Tribolium castaneum: one gene and its partner. The protein of the gene in region 1 purifies or fractionates together with the protein of each later gene. This does not show direct contact. Links are inferred from orthologs where the notes say so. Each region holds a gene or a part of one and is shown on either strand. Other genes may lie near its edges.

The links.
Region 2: the proteins of Khc-73 (region 1) and dlg1 purify together in Drosophila melanogaster (affinity purification with western blotting; 3 studies listed by BioGRID). This does not show direct contact. The link is inferred for Tribolium castaneum from reciprocal best matches to the Drosophila melanogaster genes Khc-73 and dlg1.

What each region holds. Positions count from the first base shown.
Region 1 is NC_087403.1:4,109,423-4,119,035, forward strand, and holds the end of Khc-73 (kinesin-like protein KIF13A), read left to right. Parts: coding exon 1-627; intron 628-675; coding exon 676-867; intron 868-921; coding exon 922-1,215; intron 1,216-1,262; coding exon 1,263-1,405; intron 1,406-1,466; coding exon 1,467-1,487; intron 1,488-1,544; coding exon 1,545-1,704; intron 1,705-2,073; coding exon 2,074-2,088; intron 2,089-2,889; coding exon 2,890-2,964; intron 2,965-3,082; coding exon 3,083-3,249; intron 3,250-3,298; coding exon 3,299-3,574; intron 3,575-3,623; coding exon 3,624-3,945; intron 3,946-3,991; coding exon 3,992-4,348; intron 4,349-4,394; coding exon 4,395-4,477; 3' UTR 4,478-5,949; downstream 5,950-9,613. Other genes in the region: phospholipid scramblase 1, read right to left, coding at 5,997-6,053, 6,102-6,422, 6,469-6,689, 6,739-6,891, 6,935-7,009, 7,096-7,132; uncharacterized protein LOC103313041, read right to left, coding at 7,858-8,052, 8,097-8,206, 8,253-9,613.
Region 2 is NC_087397.1:8,307,955-8,317,567, forward strand, and holds part of dlg1 (disks large 1 tumor suppressor protein), read right to left. Parts: intron 8,302-9,613; coding exon 8,080-8,301; intron 5,916-8,079; coding exon 5,768-5,915; intron 3,812-5,767; coding exon 3,706-3,811; intron 1-3,705. UniProt on the Drosophila melanogaster protein: During embryonic development, some isoforms are essential for proper neuronal differentiation and organization. Required for cell polarity; maintenance of apicobasal polarity.

The DNA of each region.
Region 1 (9,613 bases):
TTTCCAAGCACAAACCCGGCTGGGAAGTCGAGCAACAACTCGCCACAGCCCGGTCTTTGGTCGACCGGTGGTCCGAACTGACCCGAAAAATCGAACTCTGGGTCGAAATACAAGAACTGAACGACCAGGGAGAATACGCCCCGGTTGAAGTCACCACCAAAAACGAAGTATCAGCCGGGGGGGTGTACCAGTTGCGTCAGGGACAGCAGAGACGGATCCAGGTCCGGGTTAAGCCGGTCCAGAACTCTGGAACACTACCAATCATCTGCCAGGAAATTGTCAAAATCGAAGTTGGGGGCGTGATGGTACGAAGCCGGCTCCAGAAACACCTGGACTCGTACCAAGAGGAGGACTTGACGGTTTTGAGGGAGAAGTGGAACGAGGCGCTCTTGAGGCGCCACCAGTACCTGGAGCAACAAATCAAAAAGCTGCTGGAGAAGCCGAACAAGACCGACCAGGACTGCGAACGCGAGCAGAGTTTGATGGACCAGTGGGTGAATTTAACGGAGGAACGCAATGCTGTTATTATTCCGAAGCCGGGGGCTGGGATTCCTGGTGCCCCAGCTGTGTGGAGCCCACCACCCGGCATGGAACCCTACGTCCCAGTCCTATTTTTAGATTTAAATGGTAAAATTACTGTTTTTTGTGGCCGCATTTTAATAATTGCGATTCCAGCCGATGATTTTAGCACGCACCAATCTGGGGTCGAGGTTACTGTGGCTGGTGCTAACTCAATCCTGCCTAAGGAAGTGGGTAGTACGTTTTACAGTCTACACATTTTGCACCACTTGGAGAAAGATGTGTGTGCTGTGGCCAGCTGGGACTCGTCGATTCATAACAGTTCACATTTGAATAAAATAACAGAACGTGAGTTCTGAGTTGTTGGAATTAAGTGCCACTTCTAGTTGTTCGATTTTCTAGCAATGGAGCGTGTTTATATGATTTTGCGGATTACGGTGCGGTTGTCGCACCCTGCACAGATGGATCTGGTACTCAGAAAACGTCTCTCCTTGAATATCTACAAGAGACAGAGCATTACGGACCGAATTAAACGAAAAATAGTCCGTTCGGATGTCATTACTCAGTGCGGTGTTACGTACGAGGTTGTTTCAAACGTGCCGAAAGCGAGCGAAGAGCTGGAAGATCGCGAGTCTTTAGCCCAGCTTGTGGCGTCTGGGGAAGATTCGTCTTTATCCGATGGAGAGACTTACATTGGTAATCAATTTTTTGCGTATTTCACAGGAGTAATGTTTTCTTATTAGAAAAATACACCCGTGGTGTGAGCGCTGTTGAAAGTATCTTAACGTTAGACCGTTTGAGGCAAAGTGTCGCTGTGAAAGAACTGCTTCAAGCTAAAGGCCAACCACTGATGAGGAAAACAGCAAGTGTGCCTAACTTCTCCCAGGTAACTAACCGCTTTTTCTATTTTTCAATTCTCTCTCACGTTTGTACATTCTTGCAATCAGGCTTTGGAAACAAAGAATGGGGTATGTCCTTTCCTTGGTCTTTGTGTTATTGTACTACGTTTGCTTGGTTTTTTCTAGTTCATGAGGTTAGATATGAGCACCGAGTCGCTCCATATGTCCCGCTCTGAGAGTGTGTCGGAACTGAACAGTGAACTTCACGGAGTTACGACTCCCTTGAGGCCGAGGAGCAGCTTCGGGAAGGACTCCGAAGGCACTCCTTCGAAACCCTTCGGCATAGGTAGGTCCCAAGTCAAGTTTTATTTATTCCGATTAATGAGAATAGTTTAGTTCAAATATCAATGTTTTATTTTAGAGAAATAGTTAATAGCTAGTTTTCAGAGATTTAGATTGTTTGGTGCCATTGCTGTTACGCTTTGGGGCCGTATGTTTTTACAAAACATCTAAATGTTTAACTGATAATGACGTGCTCATCACCACGCTGAGATTTTTTAATGTTAATTTTCATGTTTTCACAAAATGTGCACTGAACCCTTCTTAACTCTTTTCTACCATGGTGTTTTTATCGATGTTGGAGCTTGAGGCTCTTCCAACTTGTCAAATTTTTTGCTTGACTAATTTGGATTGAATTTTTTTCTGCAACCACAAGGCTCCATTCTTTCAGGTAAAATGGAGGCTTGCATATTGAGATTGCTATATAGGTGGATACAGATCATGACTGTTTAAAGAACCGTCTGCTTGTCTGTAACATGAGTTTTGAGATAGTTTTTCATTCGTTCCGACCGGAAACACCTAATACTCTTCACAATTGATTTGCTTGTGTTAGTTGTTTTCAATGGTCATTCATTCTAGATCCATAGTTTGTCGTAGTTCATCTCAAAACTATGTTTCTCATGTAGTGTTAGACAACCGTAGAGAACAACATATTCAGCATGTTTTGGTTATAATTTGCCATTTTAATTTAAGCTTACCTAAGCATCAGTACTATATAAACTAACGAAGTAAAGCTAAATGCTATGCTTTAATAAGAATTTGGAGAAGTAAGCGTAAAGTAACGAACTGATGAATCATTCATCTTATCAATTGTAATGAAGTCACAGAGACTTACTTAAAACAGTACTGGGTGTAAAGTTGGATCCAACCAATTGGCAAAACTGTGATACCCGTATTATTCTAAGTAAATGTATCCTTAAAACAGCATCGTGAGCATGCGTAGTTATAAAATTAGTATTGAATTAATACTAGGTAACGTCCGATATGTATAATTGGCTATATCTGCATGTTCTGTTTTTTGTTAGACTAAAACAGGTCTCTTTGACTTTAAAATGATACATGTATCATTTTAAATGTTAGTGATTGTATATATAGATAATTATTGAGGTGTGACCTGACTATAAATACCATACAAAGCAGCACGGTGTTAGACAAGTGCTTTATACAACAACTAATTTATTGTATATTTCAGCTCGGCCGACTTTCTTAAATCTCAGCTTAAATCTGAACTCTTTACGGTTACAACAACCTACAGGAAGTTCAAAACGTATGTCGTCATACTCCTACATTTCGCCTTTTGTTTCTTATTTTTTGTTGATTTTAGCATGTTGTTTTTTTGTGTTCGTTACCACTGTCTTGTTCTTGTCTAACCGATAAAATTCCAGTGTTCCCCGGTATTACTTCACCTGCTAATACCAAGTTGGGCTTGAGAATGACCACTCTTCACGAGGAACAGCCTTCGTTGCCTAGAAAACATTCCTTGGATATTCTGAGTGATGACACAATTGAAGAGCAGTGTGAAGAGGGTCATGACGAAAAACACGAAGTTACTGTAAGTGTGTTTTTGGTTTAGATACAGTCAAGTCAGTCGATACTTGCAGTATAACGTGAGGAGTAGAACCAACGGACGACGAACAATTCCCACTTCACGAACTCTCGACTCCCTTGTCGAACTCGCTCCCAAGTCTAGCACACCTTCTACGACTTCAAGTGGCTACGGTTCTCAAGCAGTTTCGTCAACAAACTTATCAAGCGACGATTCGATGTCTTTGCGAAGCATCAGTGTTGACGAAACACCAGATTTGGAAGCGAAGCCAGTTTCCAATGACCTGCAACCGGTTTCGGAAGCAACTGATAGTTCGAGCGAAACTTATCAAGTACTGTCGGTAATTACTGGATTCGCCGATATTTGATTACGTGTTTCAGGAAAGCAATTACGGTGGCGAAAGCAATGAAAATGCCGACGATTTCGTCGCCAATGGCGTTGACAATCATTCCGATAATAACCAAGACAGACCTCCATGTGACAACGAAGGAAGCTCAGTAATCAAAACAAACCTATCACCCGGAAAAGTCGTACGACGAAAAAAATCATCAAAAACGCAACACTCGCAGCGAGCGTCATTCCCACAAATACGGCCACAATTATCAGAAAGTAAAGTTGCTCAAAACTACGAACAAAGTCTAATCCACACGAATTTAATACACGATGACGAAGGATTAGACAGTTCGACTGACCGATTAGAAGGTTGTCGACCACACCGTTGTTTCAGTTTCTAACTGTGTGTTTGCAGACGACTCCGAAAACAATTTCGGATCGAAGCCTGACTTGACCAAGTTGTCAGATGTTCCCGTCCCAGAGTGGGTCATACTGGGCGAAAGTGTTCTTATAAGACCGTACAATTCGTCAGGTGTCGTCGCCTACATTGGCGGCACCGAGTTCGCCTCTGGCACCTGGATTGGCGTCGAGCTCGACGCCCCCAAGGGCAAAAACGACGGAAGTGTGCAAGGAGTGCGCTATTTCAGCTGCCGGCCCAAGTACGGCATGTTCGTACGCGCTGATAAGCTGATATTGGACCGACGGGGCCGCGCAATGCGGGCCTACAAGGCCGATTCTCTTGCCAATAACAATAAGTGTGCGAGTGGAAAAGGTAAATGATTTGGTTTCGATTGTTGGTAGTCATGGGTGTCTTGCAGGCGACGGCGGCCTTCCCCGGTCGCGATCGCGCGGCGAAGGCCTGAACAGCGTGGGGACGCGGCCCAGTTCTAAAGCCAAATAGGCACAATAACTAGTCCCCTCCAATAATCCACCCGATTTTATGTATTATTGTGTGTTGAAACACATTCCATGTGTGTAGCTGTGCCGTCCATTTACGTGGCATAGAAACTTCCTAGGTTTGGTTTTGGTCTTTTGCTTTGCATTGCTGTTTGGTTGCACGACTTGACTTGGCCAACTGACTAAGCGACTACCTCTCATTCCTACCGGCAATCGTGTAAATTGGTAGTTTTACATGTGCCGTAGCTTTGGTATAACACAGTGGCACATATCAAATCAATGGGGAAATCGTTTTAATCTTGTCAAAATAATCCAGTATTATCGGCTCTTCACGTTATTTCTGGAATAATGGGGGCGAGAGCTTTCGTACCTTGATAGTTGAACGGGTTATTTGAGGATTAAATAAATTCTTTGTGTTTGTTTTTATTTTTTACGATTTTTCTTGGTTTTTATATTTTAAGAATTTCTTTCTGTGATAATTGCTGTTAGTTTCCACAGAAGCCCTGGAGTCTACTGGCTGAAGAGGGTATAGGTTTTGCGTGCTGTATAATTGAACAGATATAGTACATAAATATATAATTGTAATAGAATGTAGTTTACATAAAGTATTTAAACAATTCTGTGTGTTTGTAGAACATATAGTGATAAGATATGATGATAGGTCTGTAGTGATGATTTTTGCTATTGTTTCGTCACGAGTAAGACTGCATTCAGTTTGTCACCTGCAACGTTTTACATTCCATTTTTGAAATATATGATTATGTAAATTAATACGCAATGTTATCTAGTCTTTACTGTTTGTTTGTTGCTCAGTGATTATGTTAATCACCCATTTGATTCGGGTTTAGTCGTCCAGCCGATATTGGCTTCGGCAAAATAAATACTAGACCTGCACCTGTCCAATTTGAACCGTTCTGTCCAATTTGGGATAATATTTATGTAAAACTATATACCTGATGATGTAAATTACTAGAAATTCACGCTTCTTCGGTATATTTATTTGCATTCAACACGTTACTATGAGTGTCACTCTATGTTAGTCATTGAACATAACTGTAATATAGTTCCCTTGTATTTATATGTTCATCAAACAGCAACTATAGGTACTTACACCGGCTCGTTTAGTCTAACAATGCGGATGCATTCCGGACGCCCATAGCTACACAGTTGAGGCCAGAGTTCTAGCCACATGTACATTTTCAAATGTAAATATCGATCATTTTAATATCTGTCATTAATAAGATGTAGGACGCTTTTATTGTTACGTCATTGCTCTACTGGGTTTTGTTATTTATTTGGATGTAAGCAGCAAACTGTAATTTTATAGTTACAATATTTTACATACATTTTGTGTACATTTTTGTTGTCTATTGTGTACATCTTTAAATTATTTTAACGCGACATTTTGTAATAGTTTTAAAGTTTATTTGTAGCTGTGGTTCTACAAGCAATTTCAATAAATACATATTAAAAACACGAAGTTTTCTTTATTAACACTAATATAAGTACATAAAACTCCTTGACTAACAAATACATTTACAACCTTGTCGCTTTTTGGCACTCTCGAAATACATATACTCCTGCAAACAACCAAATCGGTGAAAATTCACAACAATACGAGATCTTACTAGAAGGAAGGCAGCTCCAAGGAGCAGTGCTTTGTGTCGGGTGTTGTTTTCCTGCCCCGGCATTTGCATGAACAAATTGTAAGCGACCTGGACTTGGTCCCACTGATGGATGATGCTTCCAATTTGCGTCATTCCGTCGCTGGTGAAGATCTGAAAGTTGTGGTTTTTGCTCCACATGCACCCGAACGCAGACTCCGGTCCCTCAATCCTGTAGATAATATCCATCTGTTTGTTGTAAATCACAAAGCAGGGTTTAGTCGCATTAAATTTTTGCTTGACTTTCCCCACATACTCTCCGGGTGGAATCCAAACTTCAAGTTCCTGAAAAAATTCATTAAGCCAAGCGTTTTTTTGATCTAGTCCCGACCTGTAAATAGAGGAAAATCGAGCAGCAGGAGCCACAAGCCAGCCGCCTCCTGAACTGTATAGCTTCTTGTTGGGTCGGGTCGTAAAGTCTCATTGCGAAAGCTCGACTTGATCCGAAACAAGTTCGCTGAAATGAAGTCGAGCTTTCGGTCGCATAGTAAATCGTTTCGCCTCTTGGCACTTTAACTGTGTAGCGATTCTCCGACTCGAGACTTGCCATCACTGGAAGAGGTTTCGGAGCAAAAGGGTCAACTACCAAGCATATATTTACGGTCTGTTAGTTCAACAGTTTGCTGAATTATGATTTGGTGCACGTCTTTCAAAAAATCCAAGCCGTGGAGAGGCGAAAAGTGGGACGTCATCGAAGTTTGCCAGTCGATTGTGGAGACTGGAATCGGCCGTCTTGTTCCTTGGTCCAGTCGTTCTGGAAATAACGGTTGGTTTCGTTCGTGGTGCGCAAAACTCACCTTGCTCGCGGGTTAATGACGGCGGCTCGGAAACAACAGGGGACGACCCTTCTGAAAAAACTGGCATGCTAATTTCTGAAAATTTAATTGTTTTGTATGGTTTGTATGAATTGCTTGATAACGCAATTAAAGTGAAATTGACTACGACTTTCGAAACTTACCCTCAACGGCCGGGTCATTTTCGCCCGTTGGAAACATGTTTTTTGAATTCTTTTGTGGCTTTTAGACGTACGTGGAGGTGTTTTGTGGTGCAATGTCGATATGAGTTTTATCTAATCTGGCATTGTTTTAGAGAGGATTTGGTCGTTTGTTAGGTGAGATAAGAAAAATCTGATTCAACATCAAATAAAATTGTCTATTTTACCATTAAAATATATTGAAACCGTTAATACAGTAGCACAGTCCTTTTGTCTAAGCAAGATCGATGGTCTTGATGCGGCGATTTCAAACGTGGGTTTGATGCGGAAATCGCCCTGTCAAAAATTTCTTAATTTAATCAGATATTTGGGATTATTGTCACGATCGTTCCAGGGCACTAATGAAATCGCCGTATCGACTCCAGTCAACTGCTCATAATAAAATCACGTTCAACGCATCCCTGTCACTAAAAAATTTAGATACAACAATGAGAATTTAAACCTGTACAGTAATGAAGTTGGAATTTATTACTTTGAACGTGTTTTAGAATGTGTAAAGATAAATCGCTGTATATTTCGAATAAACAAATAGAATATAAATATTTAACAACGAACTTCAGTGTTAATGTCATTTCTGAAGCAACATTTACTATGTGTACATTTAATAAGTTACAATGATAATACACCCATTGAAATAAATCAAGGCTGTCGTAAATATCGATACAATTTAGATGGCGTCGAGAGAAATCAAGGGCTTGACCCTTCCGGACATCGATCGTTCCTAGTTTATCGTCTGTCGGGACAGGCGAGCTCGCACTCCCCCAGCGGTTCCAGTCTTAACGAACGGTTAACATCGAGCAAATACCGGACCGACTTTTGCGCCTCCTTCTGGCACTCCTGCTTGCCATCGCACAGCTCGAACGCCTTGCTCAGGAACAGGACGTTGCATTGGCGAGTCGGGGCGAACCAGCTGTTATTAGTCTGCAAAAAAATCAATCAAAACCCACCACAAGCACCCAACTTACGCAAAGGAGACACATCTGGTGCATGTTGCACGCCGTCTCGAAGACCCTAGCATAGTGGCCCAGGACCGTGGCCACCTCATTGCACGCCCGCTGCACCTTGGGACACTCCTCTGCAAGGCAAACATTAACAAAGGCACACTCCGCCTGACTGTTTACCGAAAACTGTTTGCTCCAAGACCTCGGAAGGCGCCCGGTAATTCTGCTCCTCGCAGTCCTCGTCGCCTTGGGAGCACTTGATGGTATTGTCCCCTTCTGGAGTCTTCTCCCGCTCTTCGTCAACGGCCTGTTTCCGCGGCACTGCCACTCTTTTTTCCTCCGAAATGTCGTAGTCGTCGCTTTTGTGCTGCTTCAACCGCTCCTTTTCCTTCTCGACGCTGAGTTTGTACTCGCCTAAGGCCCGGCGCATCTTTTCCAAGCTGTAGGCGGCCGCTAGCCGCGAGATAACACGGTCCTTCACCTCCTGGATCTCCTGGGAGTCGGTGGCGCCTTCGTGGGCACCGGTGAATTTAAGCGCGTCGTCGATGATCGTGTCCTCCATGTTCTTCAATTTCGCGTCCATTTCGGACAGTTTCAGTTCTTCGGATTTGTTCTTCTTGTCGGACTCCTTTTTGCTGGGCTGGTCGTGGTTTTTGAACGACTGGAGCGGGTATTCGGCGTTGCGCTTGGTGGCCAAGGCGATGGCTTTGTGGTACCGCTCCAGCAACCACTGCTTGTCGAGTTCGTCGTCGGATTTCTTGCGCCGGTCCAGGCCGAAGTAATCGGACCAGTTGATCGATTTCTTCTGGATTTGGAGGGGCTTATCGCTGGGGGCGTCGGCCACTTCTTCTTTGGACGCGCTCGCTTTTTTGGAGGATTTCATCTTGGGTTTCGTCTCTTTTGCTAGTTCTTTTTTGGCGGTTTTGGACTTTTCCGGCTTGGGGGTTGTGACGGTGCCGAAGATGTTGCTCAAGTCTTGGGCGACTTTCGGGTCGGTTTTCTCGACTGAGTCCTTTTTGGTTGTTGAGCGTTTGTGCTCGTGGGTGATCTCCGACTGCGGGGGCTCGTAGCTGCTGCTTCGCTTTGACACGGGGAAGCGTTTCATCGGATATGACCTTTGTCGAGAGTCGTATTTCCGGTCTCTTTTGTGGTGTTTGGCTTTAGACCAGTCGTAATAATTCGCGTCGGTGTCCCGGTCGTCGTCGTCTTGGTATTTGTTGTAGAAATCGTCTCTTGAATTGTAGTTGGGTAAATAAGGGGAGTCGGTTAGGTCTGAGTCGTAGTATTTGTTGCGCTTTCGTAATCCGATGCTGTCCAGTCCTAGACCCGGGTAATAAGACCGCTTCTTGTTTTCATTGTTGTAGTAAACTCTCGGATGGTTGTATAAATTCGGATAGTTTCGGTATTTCTCCCAAAGTTCTCTAATTAGCTGACTGTAGTCTTCGTCGTTCCCTTCTTGGTAATTGTCGGCGTTTGGTAGAAAACTTTGCGCTAATTCCTCTAATTGCCGCTCCTTATCCTCCTCCAAGCGCTCTCTGAAC
Region 2 (9,613 bases), on another chromosome or scaffold:
GCATCTGGAAATTTCATTGACTCGAAACTTGTAATTAGTCGAGTATCTGAAATAACAAGCTTGATTTAGCAAACTGAAACTAGAACAAAACCCCTGCAACAATTTATACGTATTATCAACAGGAGTCTAGTTGTACGTAATACATTCAATTGAATTTCACTGTTTAAACAAGAATAATGCGATACCGGTATTAAGTGCAATTTGCAAGTGCTAAAATGGAGATTTCAATTTACACTGAAGTGAACAAAATTGTTATTGCGATAGCAGAAACAATTTCAAAAGTTTTATGTATTTATTGACACTTTCCCGACCTGATAATTAATAACACCAGCTAGCTAAAATTCGCACGAAATGACTTACTTTCAACTTGTTTAAATCACTTACATAAACCATTTAAATATTATTTAAATATTATATTCGGATTAAGAATTAGAATAGAGGAAAAAGACTTACTTTTAGTCACAGTTACGGAAGACTATAACTTAGGAGACGAAACGAGATACGAAAAACGAGATTTTCTGAACCCAAAGCAATAGCACGACAGGGTAAAAATGAGGGCGCACCAAGCGTTATACCGTCTCAGTGCCTAATCGTTTTAATTTTTGGAAAAATGTCCTTTACAGACTGAGAAAAACTGACGAGTAAACTTTTTATAACATGAGAAAAAATTATTTAGAAGTCAAAATCTGCACTTCGTGTCGTATTTTTGGAAATGCTGCAAATACCATTAAAGATACAAAAAATGTTAGGGAGAAATTTGTAGAGAATAAAATTTCCTTTAAAAAAGTCCTCTAGACCATATGTCAATTGTCAATGGTTTAGGCCCTAAGAACGTTCAAAGTGGTTGAAGCGACGGATTCGTTAAAATTTACCGGCAAAATTAAGTAAATCCATCATTGAGTGTCATTGAACAGCTTTGGGGCCTAAATGGTTGAAGATAAAGATTTATTTTTACGTTGTTTCATATCCTAACTTCTAGATACCCGTACTCAGAGTCAATAACTCGTTGTTTACAATGACCAAACCTTGTTTGTCAAAAAACGAAACATAAACAAGAAATACATAATTGCAAATAAATAAATACGTCCCGATTGCTGTATAAAAAGCAAGGAAAAAAAATGGGTAAATACAATTTTGCGATTTGGAGAGAATTCAGCGAATAATCATAAATTTGATGTGAAACCGTATAATGAGTATTTTATTACCGTATAAACTAATTGATTTGAATGCGGGTCGTGAGAAGCCCCACTAATGAGTGGTTAATTAAAATATACTAGTTATCAAAAAAAGCGGAACACATGGAAATTGTGTAGGTAAAGAACTGAAACTTTGTGAAAATGTTGTTACCCACTCAAAAATAAATTGATAACAGTTTCTTAGCCATTCCTCAAAAAACAACCCCTTTAAGAAGGTTTTTCTAGTCTTTCTGGGGTTCACTGATATGCTTTTTCTGTTGGCGATAACTATGGAAAACTTTGTTTTCTGTGTATATTGGGCACTAACAGTATGCCTCCCGTACGAAGACAACCACGTTACCAGCAGTTAACCCCTTTTGAGCGGGGGCGAATTGTCGGGCTACGTGAAGGTGGCATGTCGGTTCGGGAAATTGCAGCTCGTGTGAATCGTGGAGTGGCTACTGTCCTGCGATGTATACGGGCATGGGAGGAAGAAGGGAGAGAACATCGAGCGAGAGGTTCTGGACGGCCACGAGGTACTACCGCACGCCAGGATCGGTACCTCCACTTTTTAGCCTTTCGAGACCGGCATGTCTCCACACGGCGGATTGGTGACCAGTGGTATGCTGCAGAGGGTCGACCAGTTACAATGGCAACTGTATATAGACGAATCAGATCTTTCGGGCTTCACTCTTATCGTCCGCATTTGGTGCTCCCCTTAACTCCTCAACAACGACAACATCGACTTGACTGGTGTCGCGCGCGAGAGAATTGGGATCTAGAATGGAATTCGGTGGTCTTTTCGGATGAATCGCGGTTTTGTTTGGGCATGCATGATGGTCGACAAAGAGTTAGAAGGGTACGTGGGGAACGGCGAAACGTAGCCTTTTCTGTGGAACGCCCTGTAGCTCGAACTGTGGGTGTCATGATTTGGGGCGCGATAGCCTATGGTAGTAGGTCACCCCTTGTTTTTATTGAGGGATCCATGACTGCCCAGCGCTACGTACAGGAGGTTCTGGAACCTGTCGCAGTACCATATGTGCAAACTATTGAAAACGCGTCGTTTCAACAGGATAACGCCACGCCACACTCAGCACGCTTTACGTTGAGGTACTTAGAAGAAGTTCAGGTGCAAGTTCTTCCTTGGCCGCCTCGATCGCCTGACCTCTCGCCGATCGAGCACATATGGGATTCAATAGGTCGGCGAGTGACGAATTTACCCCAGCCTCCACAAACGCTAGCGGACCTGCGACGAGAAATTTTGACTGCTTGGGAGGCCCTGCCCCAAGACGAAATTAATCATTTAATTCGAAGTATGCCACGGAGGGTTGCAGAGTGTATACATGCACGTGGAGGGCCAACCCATTATTAAGTTTTTTTTGTTAAAATTTTTATTTTTCAATTACACTTTTTTCATCATTTATTGTTTACTTTACCACCATTTTATATTTTTAATTTCATTAAATTCAACGCATTATTTCTGGGTGTTCCGCTTTTTTTGATAAGTAGTATATGTGGTATTTTAGTTAAAATTAGCAACATTTGAGAACGAAATTAAATTAAAGCAACTAACCTGATCATGTTAAAACCGATTACAAATCCCACATAAAACATCCACTAACTTTGAATGTCAAGCACCAACTCATGAATCTTCAAGCCATTGTGGAAGAAGAATCGAAAAAACGTGTAGGAATGCAACGCTAGTTGCAAGCAAATTGACTGAGAACTCTCCCGTTAAAAAATTGTTAATGATCGTTTAGCATAAGTTAATTCGTCGAAATGTGTCTCAGCGCCAAGGTAGTTGTCAACTCATTACCATTCTATCGGCAAGGAAGTTAAAGTTCATGAATGAGTGAGTGATGCAGTGACGGTTTTTTCTCCACGAATTAACTTGTTGTATTCAATTGTGGCAACTTTTTCCTTTTACTTTCAATTCAGTCGCCTTTGAAGTGGCTGCAAACTTCCTTATTAATGAGGAATTTTAACAAAGTGACTTTAATCGAATTTTTAGTTGGAGCTAGCGCTCAAACTTTCTAAATTTGGAAAAATGGTCTCTGGTTGCAGATGCATTTTTTGCTAAATGCTAATCCGGCGTTGTGTTAAATTCATGGTAACAATTATTCATTATTAATGCGCATTTTTGCCACAGAGGCTTTATTAAAACATCCATTTTAGTGGTAATTTATGGACATCGGGCACCGCATGACGACAAATCAATGGATTTCAATGGAGCGCTTCGCAATAAAAACAAATTCACTAAGCGGATCCGTTATTATTATGAAACAATAATAATTAGGCCTGACAAATGATTAAACTCTTTGTAACAAGCGGTCAAACAAAATAACACGCAGCGAAATTTGTCATTATTTCCAGACGAAAAGTTTTAATTATTGAATTAATTAGTAAATTCACCTCGAAATATTTGAGGAGAAATTCCGTTACCGCCCTGTTAAATAATTAATTTGCCAACTTCACAGAGAGGGTATAAAATATACTCGAAGCCTGGGGATTACGCCGGGTTTGAACTTACCGAGATACATCCTCCTGGCTGACAGCCCTTGGTGTTGAGGGTGGATGGTGAAGTGCGAGGTTTGATGAGTGAATCGACTCGGGGTACGCGTTTGATGCCTTCGTAGCTGGAACAATTTTCAATTATTTTTCACTTGATCCATAAACAATAACCCACCATTCTGAGAGAATTAAGTTAGATTTGAGTGTCATTCAACGGCGCTCTTATACAATGAAAAAATCTCCATCTTATTTCGTATTAGGTCGGCAAATAAATAAAGACGTTTTCGATTTGAAAACCAGGCTAAAAAAATCAATAAGCTCTGACATTAAAATGTTTTTCAACCGAAACGGCAAAATTTCGTCAAAAATTATACAAAAAATAATATTTTTGACTTTTTCGGAGAGTTTTTGAGCTAATTAGCAAATTACAAAAATAACATTGTCTTGATAAAAATATCGAAAAACCGCTGAATTGGATAATTGGATCGAAAATGTTGTCAATTTTGCTTTTTACAAGCGATCATGTAAGTACATTATTTTCAGTCAGACAATTAATATTTCACTCACAATTTATTCAAAAATACCAAAAAAATCATTGAATTGGATTGAAGATGGTATAAATCTAGCATTTTTCGAGCGCTGAACACGCATTTGAAATAACAAATCAGTTTCTTTGCGAGATTTTGTTATACCGGAAAGAAAAATCAGTAAATTGGAACAAAAATGGTATTTTTTTAAGCTTTTTAGCTCTTTATCGAGCCAGAAAAGTAATGATTATTATTATTACTATTATTATTTTTCTTTATAAATTTTGAACGTCTCTCCCGACTGATCAATTGATTAACATAATTAGATACCTCGTAAAGAGATTCTCTAAATTGTCCAAAGTACAAAATATCTGACTTTAACAGTTTTTTTATTGTATTTTCGGTTAATGCGTCTACGTGTATTGAACTTAGAGATGGACAGAACTTAAGTATGTGAAAATCGAAACAATTTTATATGAAAAAAAAAAACCATGCAAACTTGTGATATAACGCAAAGGGCTAGTAAAAAAGTAGCATTTTAATTAACCTAAACCTAAATAAAAAAAAGTTTTTCACCCTTGAATTATGTTAATACGAGTACATAATACCGATTTGAATTTCATTTTGTTTGTAGATATTTATTTATATTTATTGTTATGAGATTAAACCAATTAAATTCTTTGTTGATATTATTTTTATTAATTGAAAAATCGTATTCGCACATAAATTGCTGATTTAAATTTGCAGTTTTCTCTTGATACTCCTACCGCTCTTTGAACAGACAAATTTTGATGGTCCATTCAAGTGAAATTCTACTGTAGGTATTATTTTACCAACACAATTTTTTTTTAAATCTTTATTCCGCTCAGGAAATGTAAAAAATATTGTGAAAATATAGAAAAAATTAGAAGTAGTAAAACCAAAGCAAACGGTGCTGGATTTTTTTTTGCGTAGTGTACGACATGCTAAACAGTACCTACAAAATAAACTCGAGTTTGCACCCAATTCACTAGTTTTCAATAATTTATTTTCTTATCCATAGTTTAATTGCGCGCGAGATAAACAAAAACCTTATTATTATTACACTTTAATAATATTAAATAAGATTTGAGTCATATAACAGCGTCTTGACACAATAAAAAAGAGTCTCGATCTAATTTCAAACAACACGGTAAGTAAATAAATTCATTATTGATTTGCAAACCTTGTTTTATTTTTAAAAGCTCGTGTTTCTGCAACGTTTCATGAAATGATTTTCCTGAATATCGTCCATAGGCAACCAGTTATACCCGCAGCGCTTTTTTCCGTTTTACGCAAAGAAAAACCTCGTAATTTTCTCGCGAGACAGATTTATTGTTATTTGCAGCGTCACACAAGATAATGGTCTTTAGCCGCATTTAGAAGCGGCTATTGTTAATGTCGCCGCGAAGCGACCAACCCTTCTACAGTAATTTAATAAAATTATGAATGGATAACTGCTCCTGGGCTTTAAGGTAAAACCTGACGTTTGAATTATGAGATCGCGTCAGAAACAGTTATATATTTCTAACTTACACAATTGCGGCGAGTAGGAAGTATCAGATGCGGGAGCATTAAAGGCACTGTCTGGTTTGGCGACGACGAGCACAACCCTGTCCTGCGTTGTTTTGAGCGTAGTGACGGCGTCCTCATGGGTGACATTCTCCAGGTTAACTTCGCCTTTCTGAAAAACAACGTGAAACGTTTAATTAAAAGGAGAAAAAGGCAATTGTTGCAGACACCGATAGAGGAGAACGAGCGAAAGAAAATTTGATTATGTAATTATGTCGGAAGAACTGGCGTTATTTTATGTGAAATACGTGCTTTCTTTTCTTTGGACCTGGTGGCGCTTTCAGTGGAATTAGTTGGCTAATTTTTATTTGGTTGCTCGCAGAGGCGGTGAGAATGAAATATCTTTTATAAGCCTTTTTTACACGGAAAAACAAAATAGTTGTTCTCAAAAACTTCTGTAAGAATATTGTTAACGGCCTGATCAATAGAATTTTTGTTAATAAGTTTTAGGTTCGATTAATTAGTATTCCTTTTTTATAATCTTGTAGTTTGTGTTGTTTTTACTTTGTTTATTTTTTCTGTTTAACTGCTACGAAAAATTTTTAAAACCGCAATTGCCGCATTACGTCTTCCCCATTTTTATAAACATCTCTAAATGTAAAAGTAGAAGTAAATAACGATTTATTCATACAGTCATTTGACTCCATGTGTTGCATTAGCTCGACTTTTTGTTGTTTAAACATACTTGTTTTACGGATTGTGAGCACATTTCTAAAATGTACCGATTTTATAAATTAATTTCCTTTATAATTTAATTTAACTGCAATGCAACGTTATGACGTTTTTAATTCGTGGTCAGTGAGCACTATTTATATAATAATAAAAAAATTCTTTTGTTATTGACAACATCAATCAATTGTACAAATTCATAAGAACACGTTTCAAATATGTTCCCATTAAAAAAAGTCCCGACAAGGATACAGAGTACTGTATGGGAATTTTGACATGAGAACAAATTGGTGGAAAATTTTCCTACAAGTTAGGGAGAATAGGGTCCCAAAACGCATCCTTTTCGTCACAACAGCACAGGTGGATCATTAAATTAGAAAATCCGAGTGCGCCTTGCCAGATGCGACGGAAGAGCGGATGAGGAAGTTGAGCTATGCAACTTTCACGAGCGGCGGTTTTTCATTCACAACTCGTCTTAAATTCGGGAAAATCCGCCCCGGAATATAACAAATCATCTCGGGCCGTATTTATGATGAAAATTTACAAATTTCGATTAGCGAAAATTGAATTGGTTTATCGCCGAAATATGAAATTTTAACACCCTTCTCGTAATAAATTCCACATTTTAAAAAGCGTGAAATGCAAATAAACCCAGCGTGCACATGTTGTGTTGTTTTGCAAATTGTTTCGTGCATTTTTAATAATACGCCGAGCTGTCACAGGGCAATGCCATTGCCGTTCCGCTGCAAATTTCAAAAGACGACCACATTCATTGGAGATTATAGAAGAGAAACATTGCGTGGTGACTTTTGTGAATAAAATATCACAATGGAAATCCTAAACTCAATAAAATAACTGAAAGTTATTGATGCATTCTAAAATTTGTTTTTGTAACTCGCTGAATCTGTTTTACGTTGCTAATTGATATGAATCGACCTTAATAATAGTGTTTGCATGCAGGGCCTCCGGCTACGAATAAAAACAGTATCAGGAAAAATCCACATTGTTGAAGAGATCACGCGTTATTAGAAACAGTAGAAAAGAGAAATATGAAAAAGGATATTACGGCAATATTTCCATTTCGTGCTCCTTTTGAAAATCAATAGCACTATCAGTTCGTATATAAAAAACATCCCTGATAGGCAAAAATACCTCAACTATTTTCCTCTAAAAGAAAACTCGCTTCTTTTACTAACGCTGAACGGAAGTTCGTTCGGCGAAGACACGTTTGTCGTCGTGTATTTTCCCAGAATAATGAAAAGCCCCGTAGTCAAAAGAACATGGAAATTGTAAACGTAAAATAACGGGCTGACGACAGCGCATCATAAAATATTACGTACGGAACGTAAAACTAAGAGAAAATGAGAAATGTGTACGTTACTTAACACTTTAATAACGACCCCAAAAAGTGGAAACCGAATTTAATTAAAGTCGCGACTGCAATAATTTGAAAAATGCGCCTTCTTTCCCATCACATAAAACAAGAAATCGTTTAAAAACTTGTTGCTGTATAAACGTAAATTCTCTCGTCGTAAATGTTGAAGTGTCTCTCGATTGAGATTTTGCAACGTTCAGTCGACGAAACGTCTGGATAAGAGGATACTTACGACAGCGTCCCTGACTGCGACGAGTTTATCGCCAACAAGGAGACGACCATCCACTTGAGCAGCACCACCCTCCATCACTTTAGTGACATAAATGCCGTTATCACCGGGGATGTGCTGATTGCCAATGCCACCGGCAATGCTAAAGCCGAGACCTTTGTTGCCTTTTACCAACTCGATCTCCATCAGTCTCATGTTGCGAGGTTGTCGCCGGCGTCGCACGCACTGAAAAATCACAAATTACTTAATTCACTTTGTGATCTCAAACAATTAACAGTCTAAAACTCAAGCTAATAAACGCTTTAATCAGGAGCTAACGGCTTCTCTTTGTAGGTTTTTCTGATTAAGGAACTAAATTAAAGATTGTTGTTTTTATGGAGATTTTTTTTGAATAATTTGAAAAATTCGCTAGGTTAGAACAAAATTCCAAAATAAAACCAAATGGTGCGATTGTTTTAATCAATTTTTAGAGCATTTTTCGATGGCAAATTCACCTCTCGTTTCTAAAGTACAAAACGAAGCTGCATATTTATATGTACCCGTAAATTAACAGAAATATATATTACTTTTCATAAATTTATGACCTCATTTTTCATTTGCTAAAACAATGTGGAAAATTATTAGTAAATTAGATCTAACTTTATGTGATTTCAAATCTTACTAATAAATTCGACGTATTTTGCCAACCAACCAACCAAAAAATCGATTGCATTATTTATTTTGTCAATTTAGAAACATTTTCCAATGAAAATAAACAAAATATTGGTCCGAAAAGTGTTTTTTGAGCTTTTATTTATTGACCTAGAGCATTTTCATAGCAAGAAATCCACTGAATCCAAAGGTTCTGTCAATCAAAATAAAAAAAAGTCTGAAATAAGATATTTTTTTAAAATATGGTAACATCTTAAAGAGAATAATTTTTAAATCAAAGCAAAGTGTAAAATCGTTAAATCAAATCTAAAAAGTGTTATTTTCTGTGAAGTTGGAAATGAAAGCTCAAAGCCAGAAATTCACTAAACTTGAAAGATTCTGTTAAAACATTGAAAAATTCTTCATATTTGCTTCTTCCGACAGAATCTAATTTTTCAAGCTTAAACAGCTGAAATTGTCATCTTCAATAACTTACAAAATACAAAGTATTTTGCCAAAACAAAGTAGAAAATCCATATCGAATGCATTATTGTTTCCTAATTTAGGAACATTTTCACCGAAAAAAAGCAGAAATACTAAAGCAGAACTTTCTATCTATTTCGAAACATATTTCACCGATAAACTTACAAAATTAACAAAAATGTACTACTTTCCCAAAATGTAAGATCTTATTCTTCAGTAAGATATTTAAAAATTTATGAAGAAAATCGTAGAGAAATTATTTGAAATTTTCTGTGAGTTTAGAAACATTTTCAGAGACTTACTAAATTCGAACTATTTTACCAAAACAAAGCATCAAACAAAGCATGTCGAATGCATTATTATGTTTATATCTAAATTTATGAACATATTTCAGTGAAAGACTGAGTCGGAGAAAGCAGAAATA